Macaca mulatta: one gene and its partners. The protein of the gene in region 2 purifies or fractionates together with the protein of the main gene of each other region. This does not show direct contact. Links are inferred from orthologs where the notes say so. Each region holds a gene or a part of one and is shown on either strand. Other genes may lie near its edges. The genes, in order: CNNM1, protein tyrosine phosphatase type IVA 1 and CNNM3.

Evidence for each region.
Region 1: the proteins of protein tyrosine phosphatase type IVA 1 (region 2) and CNNM1 purify together in Homo sapiens (affinity purification with mass spectrometry; 4 studies listed by BioGRID and IntAct, with this or other methods). This does not show direct contact. The link is inferred for Macaca mulatta from reciprocal best matches to the Homo sapiens genes PTP4A1 and CNNM1.
Region 3: the proteins of protein tyrosine phosphatase type IVA 1 (region 2) and CNNM3 purify together in Homo sapiens (affinity purification with mass spectrometry; 6 studies listed by BioGRID and IntAct, with this or other methods). This does not show direct contact. The link is inferred for Macaca mulatta from reciprocal best matches to the Homo sapiens genes PTP4A1 and CNNM3.

The regions. Positions count from the first base shown.
Region 1 is NC_133414.1:111,448,719-111,452,184, reverse strand, and holds the end of CNNM1 (metal transporter CNNM1), read right to left. Parts: intron 1,412-3,466; exon of another isoform or gene 1,380-1,411; coding exon 1,196-1,379; exon of another isoform or gene 1,155-1,195; intron 1,077-1,154; exon of another isoform or gene 1,048-1,076; coding exon 710-1,047; 3' UTR 636-709; downstream 1-635. UniProt on the Homo sapiens protein: Probable metal transporter.
Region 2 is NC_133414.1:120,657,160-120,659,846, forward strand, and holds protein tyrosine phosphatase type IVA 1, read left to right. Parts: upstream 1-1,225; 5' UTR 1,226-1,570; coding exon 1,571-2,092; 3' UTR 2,093-2,133; downstream 2,134-2,687. UniProt on the Homo sapiens protein: Protein tyrosine phosphatase which stimulates progression from G1 into S phase during mitosis. May play a role in the development and maintenance of differentiating epithelial tissues.
Region 3 is NC_133418.1:5,482,249-5,485,903, forward strand, and holds part of CNNM3 (metal transporter CNNM3), read left to right. Parts: coding exon 1-409; intron 410-3,655. UniProt on the Homo sapiens protein: Probable metal transporter.

The DNA of each region.
Region 1 (3,466 bases), about 9.2 Mb from region 2:
TCTCGAACCCCTGACCTTAGGTGATCTGCCTGCCTGGGCCTCCCAAAGTGTGGGATTACAGGCACGAGCCACCGTGCCAGGCCAACTTTAAAAATCTTTGAGCACTTTTTCAGGTTGTTGCTCTGGACTTGAGTCTTATACTATGGATTGGAGTAGGTCTGGCAGGGGAACTACTGGCTTGGGTGCAGGCTTAGGGGGCTACTGAAAGCTTGGGGAAGTACATCTTAGAGAGGCAAACACAGAAGCTTCTCAGGACTGCTGGGACCCTGGGCGCTCAGAGCAACACCACTGTCAAGGCAGCAGTGTTCAGCGTCTCGGAGGTGATATGATCCGAGACCTCAGGAAAAGTCTATAGACTACACCTTTGGTCAAAGCCACAGCTAGTTAGAATGTTTCCTAATCAGTTTCCTAATCTGTGAGGTAGGCCTAATAATAGCTACGTAACATTTATAAAGCATGGTACTGAACACTGTGATATGCCTTTTATGTACATTATCTCATTTATGCTCAAAGCTACTTTATAAGATAGCTGTCATAATTTATACCTATTAACATAAGGATACTTATCTATTCAGACAAAAAAAACTGAGTCTTAGGTTTAATAACTTGCCTAAAATTGCATAACTCCTAAATGAAGGAGCCAGGGTCTGAATCCAGGCAGAAACCCAACTCCTAATACTGCCCTACACAGTTTTCCTGGGAGAATGAATCAGACAGGGCCTGATGCATGGTAGGTGCTCAGTAAATGTTTCCTTTCCCTGGCTGTGTAAGGAGGTTGGAGGTTTAACGCAGGGGCTGCGGTCCCAGGGCTCCCCTCAGCCAGCTTTCCCCGGGCCATCCCAGTACCCAAAGGCGATGATCCCCCTTGTTCTGCTAGGCCCAGTCGGCCTCCCTGACCTGCTGTCGTGGGAACGGCTACCGGAGACAGTGTGAGCTGCTGTGTGCTGTGCTCCTCGAAGTCAGTCATTTCTTCCTGGGTGAAGGCCAGCTCCTCCATCCTCAGGTACACTACCTCGCCGGGGCTTCTCAGCCCATCTGAGCGGCTGCCTGGGGAGGACAGCACGTGCATCACCTCTCTGATTTGGAGAAGACCCAGGGCTCAGGTGGTGTGAGCCCTGGGCAGGGCTAGAAGAGGAAGGCAGGGTCGTCCTCACCCCACACCAGCCCGGCCTGCCCGTCTGCCCAGCTGACTTACACGGCAGGCTGTTCCTGTTGTTCAGGAGCGTGATGGCGGGGTCATCCTTAGGGGTCTGGGGTGTGCCCCGGGTTGTGGGGGCCTTGGTGGAGTCCCCATCTGTGAAGGCCTCCATGTCAGGGGACTGAGGTGAGCTGTCCATGTGGCAGGCAGTGAGTGCGTTCTGATACTGCTGCCGTGTGATCTGGAAGGAAGAGGGCAGGAGCTTAGGAGCAGCTAGGCAGAGCCCTCCTGGATGCAGCCAGCCTTCCCAGGCTCGGGGGCAGCCTCGCTGGGGTGCTTGGAACCCTCGGCCTCTGAGGCCTGAGATCCACCAACGGGGGCCTTACCCACGCTGTAGCAGTCCAGCAGGGACAGTGAGGGGCCCTTTGCTGGTCTGCCACCAGCTCCCACTGTTCCTTTTTATTGGCACCTGGAAGAACCAAACCTTCTGAGACGCTGGAGAGGATGGAGGGCATCTTCAGAGAGCCGGGTGGTTGTCCATGGAGAAGTTTAAAACACACATTTATACTATTGCCAAAGGCCCAAAGGGTCAGTCGGGGGTGACTTGGTGAGAATAAGGTAGGACTCCAGCAGCGAAGCTCTCATGCCCCAGGTCTCAGTGTTGGGAAGCTGGAGGCTAGGGCCTGAGAGAACACAGGCATTTCTGATTTGGACTAAGCCCATCCCTGGATGTAGGGTCATGCTCCTATGTTGGCAGGGACCACAGCAGGGAGGTCTCCCAGCTGTCTCCTCAAATCACAGGAGTCAGACTTGTGATTTCCCTGCTGTGTCAAACGTCAGCCACAAGTGAAGGCATCTGGAGGGTCAGGCTGCAGCCAGACCAGACAGGAGTCTCCATGATTCCAGGCAGGAAAAATATAGATCAAATGTCTCTTCTAAAAGGCAGGAAGGTGTCTCGGTCACCCCTGTTCTCTGGGTATACAACACAGACAGGCACTGTGAATCCTTGCTAGCAGTGAAAACAGACTAGGTAGTGTGCCACCCTGTACAGGGATGTGAAACTGCTCATCAGTGGCTGGCACTGGGAGAAGAATGGAAATGGTATGTGGCATAATATCCTTCCCAATCATAGCATCTCCTAAAGCGTTTTCATCCCCCCTTCACTGCATTAGCGCTAGAGAACGAACAAATTCTGCTCATTTTGCCTTCTCTTTCCTTTGGGGCAGAATTGGTATCACATGTTGAAACAGGAAAGATTTCTGCTGGCAGTAGGAGGGGGATGGTTGAGGCTTACACACTGTGACAGAGAGTAGGCTTGAAGTTGGCTTTGTATCTGGTAAGGTCTCAACAGTGGCTCCTTGTCAACTACTCACAAGACCCATTATTTTACTGGACACGATCAATCCTTTCTTCAACAAACTTCAGGATATTTTGCAAGAGAACCAAGCAAATTCTAAGCACAACTAATCTAATCATAAAACACCAGTTAAGAATGCATGCCTTTTTGCAGAGCATATGGGACACACATATACAGAGATTCCAGGCTTCTAATCATACTTCTGCCCATTCAGGTGGGCAAATAGAGTTTTCTATTGATGGTTTAAATCAGTGATTCTCAAACCTCAGCATCAGAATTATCTGAAGGACTTGTTAAAACAAGATTGTTGGGTTTAACTCTGAGTTTCTCATTTGCTAGGTCTGGGGTGGAGACTGAGAATTTGCATTTTTAGCAAGTTCCTGTGTTCCTGGTGCTGCTAGTCTGGAGATCACACTTTGAGAACTGCTGACTTAAGACCTAGTTAAAATCAGATACAGGTACTACTCAGGTTTTGGTTTTTTTCTCTGAAGGATTTTAAAGGACAAAGCAGCAAAGTGTTAACAACTGGCTTTGATATTTTTTAGGTCAAAATGGTATGTTCTTTGCTCTATGGCGTGGAACCACAGGTCTCCACTTAGCATTTATCCAAAGTCTTCAATCGATTCAATGTGCTTGTTGAGAACACGTGACTTTTGCCACTCCCTCTGTTGGGAAGTGAGAAGTCAGGTTCCAAAATTTCCCCCAAAGATGAGGAAATTTGGCTCTAACACCAAAGGACGGGAAAATTCCCTAAATGACACTCGGTAAGCCCAGTAAAGCAGTTGATCTTACTCTATTTGGGTTCTTTAGTTATTTAGATTTGGCTTCTACTTTAGTCAAAGGACAAATGTCCCTTCACCTAAGAAATATGGCAGGAAACATACTGCCAAGAACTAAAGTTCAAGTCCCAATTTTGCCACTTTCAAGCTGGGAGGCCTTGGCCAAATATATATACATTTTTAATCAGCCAA
Region 2 (2,687 bases):
GGGCACATATACACACAACATGCTCAAAAGATGATCTAAGACAACAATTATCACACTCTATGATCGATGAGGTTCCAGCTGGTTAGTGGTGAAATCGGGTTGGAAACCAGTCTGATACCTGATTATTTTACACTATTTCTCTTAACTTATAATAGGAGCATGTATTGCAGCTATTTTGAATTTGAATAGCAATTTATTTGAGGAAATAATTCTTCAAACTAATTAAGAATGCTATGCTAGTTTATGCTAAAGGAAAAATATCCATATTCTCCTTCAAAAGTTTTCCATTTTTTGGAGACATTATTTTAGAGTACAGCATAGTCTCTCTTCCTTTAATGCTTCTGTATTCATTCAGGTAAATACTACCCTCAGTTTTCTTCCTTCTCATTTTTAGGTTTTTCCCTTCCTTGATGGTTACATGACTTTAGTACAAATATATGTCTCACAAATTAGAACAGTGACTTATTGGCTCACAAAATGCTGCACCTTGTGATACCATTTGATAAAATATCTTTTATTTTAGATTGTTTTTATAAAGAAACGAGAGAAAACTAGAGGAAGAGCAAAGATGCTGGTTCTTTTCACACGCTACCCAGGGAATGATGGTACTGTCCTTTAAAATATTGCCACGCATCAACAAATTCTGGAATAGGCCTGAAACCAATCATTGTATCTCTGCTTAAATTCCAAACTACAGTGGCTTAAGAAGAGCGCTTAAGTTCTCCTATTTATAAATATTTGACTAAGATCCTTTAATCAATTTACAAGGAAGTTGTAAAAGGTAAAACCACTTTATGAACAGCCTGAAAATAAAACATTATTTTCATGCATTATATAACTCGTCTCATCACAGTGTTAAATAGGTTCTGCATTTTTTTCTAAATTAGTAAATGTCACAGGTGCTCTGAAAGATAGGCAGGAAGAAGGAATTACCTGCATTCTTATAAAAAAAAAAATAAAATACAGGTCTGGTGCCCCTGCCGCCTCCTGCAACGCCGCCACCGCCGCTCCGCCATGACCACCGCTGCCTCCTGCCCTGCAGCCGCCACCACCGCCTGTGTTGACGCCGCCTCGGGACTGGTTGTATGATTAGGCCACAATCTTCAATGAGTAAACATATTGCTCAATGCTGTGGTGTTCTTGGTCACACATTTATGGAGTTTCTGAAGGGCAGTGGAGATTACTGCCAGGCACAGCACGACCTCTATGCAGACAAGTGAACTGTAGAAACTGATTAATACTCCATCAAGAAGCCCACATAAGACTGGTTATCCTGGACACAGAAGTGTTGAATTGAAATCCACAGAGCATTTTACAAGAGTTCTGACCTGGATGGGGTAAACCTCAGTGCACTTCTTTTCTGGTGGCCTCAGTATTACTGGATTAAAGAATTGCTGCTGCTTGTTAGGAGGTTCATTTCATTTATCATTACTTACAACTTCATACTCAAGCACTGAGAATTTCAGTGGAGTATATTGAAGTAGACTTCAGTTTCTTTGCATCATTTCTGTATTCCAATTTTTAAAAAATTATTTCATAACCCTATTGAGTGTTTTTTAACTAAATTAACATGGCTGGAATGAACCGCCCAGCTCCTGTGGAAGTCACATACAAGAACATAAGATTTCTTATTACACACAATCCAACCAATGTGACCTTAAACAAATTTATAGAGGAACTTAAGAAGTATGGAGTTACCACAATAGTAAGAGTATGTGAAGCAACTTATGACATCACTCTTGTGGAGAAAGAAGGTATCCATGTTCTTGATTGGCCTTTTGATGATGGTGCACCACCATCCAACCAGATTGTTGATGACTGGTTAAGCCTTGTAAAAATTAAGTTTCGTGAAGAACCTGGTTGTTGTATTGCTGTTCACTGTGTGGCAGGCCTTGAGAGAGCTCCAGGACTTGTTGCCCTAGCATTAATTGAAGGTGGAATGAAATATGAAGATGCAGTACAATTCATAAAACAAAAGCAGCATGGAGCTTTTAACAGCAAGCAACTTTTGTATTTGGAGAAGTATCGTCCTAAAATGCGGCTGTGTTTCAAAGATTCCAATGGTCATAGAAACAACTGTTGCATTCAATAAAATTGGGGTGCCTAGTGCTATTGGAAGTGGAACTTGAGATAGAGCCTAATTTGTTATACATATTAGCCAACATGTTGGCTTAGTGAGTAAGTCTAGTGTAGCTTCCATAGGAGTATTGAAAGGCAGTTTTACCAGGCCACAAGCTAGACAGATTTGGCAAACTCTGTATTTGGGTTACAGTCAACCTATTTGGATACTTGGCAAAAGATTCTCGCTGTCAGCATATAAAATGTGCTTGTCATTTGTATCAGTTGACCTTTCCCAAAATCATGCAGTATTGAGTTATGACTTGTTTCTATTCCCATGCCAGAATCTTATCAATACATAAGAAATTGAGGAAGATTAGGTGCCAAAATACCCAGCACAATACTTGTATATTTTTAGTACCATACAGAACTAAAATCCCAGGAACTATGAACACTCTAGACCTTATGTGGTTTATTCCTTCAATCATTTCAAACATTGAAAATAGGGCTTACATGGTTATTTGCTCACTTGATGTTTACATCTCCCACACTCATACCAGTATACATCAGGTTTGCCTAACCATTGATTTTTTTTTTTTACCAAGTCTTACAGTGATTATTTAGTGTGT
Region 3 (3,655 bases), on a different chromosome or scaffold from region 2:
GTGGGGCAGCTGCTGGAGCTGGCAGCGCGGCCCGGGCGGCTGCGGGAACGGGTGCTGGAGCTGGCGCGCGGCGGCGGCGACCCCTACAGCGATCTCAGCAAGGGCGTGCTGCGCTGCCGGACCGTGGAGGACGTGCTCACGCCCCTCGAAGACTGCTTCATGCTGGACGCCAGCACCGTGCTGGACTTCGGCGTCCTGGCCAGCATCATGCAGAGCGGCCACACGCGCATCCCCGTGTACGAGGAGGAGCGCTCCAACATCGTGGACATGCTCTACCTCAAGGACTTGGCCTTCGTGGATCCTGAAGACTGCACGCCGCTCAGCACCATCACTCGTTTCTACAACCATCCGCTCCACTTCGTCTTCAACGACACCAAGCTGGACGCTGTCCTGGAGGAGTTCAAGCGAGGTAACATCCCGGGCATGGTGCAGGGGACGCCTGTGCCAGTGCCCTCTCCCTGAAAAGGGATGGAGAGTTATGAAAGCCTTCAGGAAAGGGTCCCACCCCCGTGGCGTGCGGTGAGACTTCTAAGGTCCCTTTTCAAGACGGTATTGGCCTTGCAGGTTGGAATCACCTTTTGAAATACTTAAAGGCCATCCATCAGAGTGGGAGAAATCCTTTAGACAGCGAACACTTTAACCCCCGCGTCAGGATGGCACCCCTATACATATCCTATTTGCAGGGAGGGGTATGTCCGCTTGGCTCTAATCCCCCAGCTCTTCCCCTTTCCCAGAGCGTTTCTGTGTGCTTGTCTTTGTAGCAGGTCCAAATGTTTGGCTAGAAACTAGAAGAACACAGAGAAGAGGGTAGTCTCCAGGTATCTGGGACGTTGTGGCCCGCACACATGTAATATCAAATTGACTGAACGTGTGATGTTTCCTTCAGAGCGTTCTTAAGGTCTCTGGCTTTACTGCAGATAAGGGTATTTAGGTGTCAATCTCTTATCTGCAGTAAAGCCAGGGAAACTTACACTTTGCTTCCCCCAAAAGTAACTCCACGGATGCTGACTTAGTCTCCCTTTCTCTCGGCTCTGTCGCCCAGGCTGGAGTGCAGTGGCGCGTTCTCGGTTCACTGCAACCTTCGCTTCCCAGGTTCAAGCAATTCTCCTGCCTCAGCCTTCCGGGTAGCTGGGACTACAGGTGCACGCCACCATGCCTGGCTAATTTTTGTATTTTTAGTAGAGACGGGGTTTCACCACGTTGGCCAGGCTGGTCTTGAACTCCTAACCAGGTAATCCACTTGCCTCACTCTCCCAAAGTGCTGGGATTGCAGGCGTGAGCCACTGTACCTGGCCTTTTTTTTTTGTTTGTTTTTGCTTTTTAATCTCCTGTATTTAAAAAATTTTATATAGAGACAGGGTGTCACTATTTTGCCCAGTCTGGTCTCAAACTCCTGGCCTCAAGTGATCCTCCCACCTTAGCCTCCCAAAGTGTTGGGATTACAGGCGTGAGCCACTGCACCCAGCCTAACCTACACTTTTCTATCTGTAAGGTTTCAAGTTCTCCCTTCACTCCACATTTTCATCCCTCCTTTCACTCTGTTTTATCTAAGCAGTTTGGAGATTGAAGGTAAAACCAATACTCCCCAGATGTGAAGGTGTGGTTTCCTCTGTAGTCCTCCCCAGCATCATCCTTAGGGGTGCTCCCCAGAGTTTGGTGCTCACACCTTGGCCAACAGCCATGCTTCTCACACCTGCACTCCTGTAGGGTGAGGGTGGGGGCACCCCAGGGTGGTGGATGGGCTTGACCCTAAAGGCTGTCTGCTCTGAGACCAAGAAGTGGCAAAGCCTCCTGGTATTTGTGGCAGGACGTCTCTGGCACTGTCTGTCAAGAGCCCCTGGCCTGTCGGTGCAGGAAGCCAGGCTTTGTGGTAATGACTGCTACTCCTGACTGAGCACTGCTATGTGCCAGGAGCTGATGGGCACTCTCTGTAATCTCGTCCCTTATTCCTTGCAGGAGGCCTGGGTGCTAAGTTACTGTCATTACTGTACCTCAGGAAGGGGTGGTGGGAGGCTTGGGTGGGCAGCTCTAACTATTCTCTTAGACTGTTGGGTGCTCCTGGCTGTGTCCCTAGAACATGGCCATGCCACCCTGCCCTGGGGAGGGAGCCTGGGCTTGGGTCCAGACAGAGCCTCGTGGTGGTAAGTACTCCATGTGGGCTGCCGGAGCCCGAGGCAGGGGTGGTTCTCCTGGTGTGGTGGCCAACAGTGCAACCCTGGACTCAACGGAGTAGGTTCCATCCTGCCCTTGCCTGCTCCCAGCCCCGGAAGGCTGCTCAGCCTCTTGTAGCGCAGGCTCCTCTGCTGCTAGTGATCAGAGTGGGTAAGTGCACCTGCGGCGGAGACTCATCAAGCACTTTGGCCAGTGCCTGGCATGCACGTGCTGTGTGCTTGGCGTTAGCAGGCTCTGCTGGTAGGTGAGCCGTTTGCCAGTCCGGGAGCAAGGGGTCAACCTGAAAGTGCAGATTTCCGTTTCTTCCAGGCAGGTCACCAGACTTCCTTCTTTTTAGGGAAAACGTGGAAGACTGTAGCTGTCCCTTTGGTGTTCTAAGCACTCACGTTTCTAGATTCTTTAAGAAAACGCTCGCTCTGGTGTCTGGCTTCAGCCAGCTGCTGCTTTCAACATTTGAGCAGTCCCCAAGCAGAGATTTGGGGCAGTGGAGATGGAAGGGTTGCCCCGTTCAGAACTAAAGGCGACTTCCGCAGTTGGTCGTGATGCTCAGGATGAGGCTGGTGAAAGTGGTCTTTCATTTTCCAAACCCTTAGGGTCAGGATCTTGGCTGCCGTGGTCTTGTCTTTCAGATGCGATGGATGAGCTTGGTCCAGGGTGGTTGGCGCTTCCACTTGGGGAAAAATCGAAAATGTTCATGTTCATTGGGAAGGAGCCTAGAGGCAGGATGTCCCCCCGCGGGGGGTGGGGGTAGGGTTGTGTGCTGTGTAAGGATCTTGGACTTGATCACCAGGGCCACGAGCATCAAGTAGCAGCATCAGTTTTTTTTTTTTTTTTTTTTTTTTGAGACAGAGTCTCGCTCTGTCGCCCAGGCTGGAGTGCAGTGGTGCAATCTCCGCTCACTGCAAGCTCCGCCGCCTCCCGGGTTCATGCCATTCTCCTGCCTCAGTCTCCCGAGAAGCTGGGACTACAGGTGCCCGCCACCACGCCCGGCTAATTTTTTTGTGTTTTAGTAGAGACGGGGTTTCACCATTTTCGCCAGGATGATCTCGATCTCCTGACCTCATGACCTGCCCGCCTCGGCCTCCCAAAGTGCTGGGATTATAGGCGTGAGCCACCGCGCCCGGCCAGCGTCAGTTATTTTTACAGATCAGTAATGATTGTGGAGACCAGCGGTGTGAGGGTTCCAGGTGAGAGGGGGTGATAACCTGAACAAGGTGCATGGCAGGCCTGGAGAGGAGCCCCAAGAGGGCAGCAGAGATGGAATTAGGAAGACTGGTGTCTGGCAGCGGGGCTGTGCAACAAGGAGCAGCAGCTGAGGATGAGGCCCAGATTTCTGACCGTGTGGTGGCGGTGCGCCTTCACTAAGGGCCAGGCATGGGGAGCAGGTTTTGGCCGTTGAATTTATGTCTGTGCAGTGTCCCAAGAGGCAAACTTCTAGCAGGCGGTTGATGTGAACTGCAAGCGGGAGGCAGAATAGGAGTGT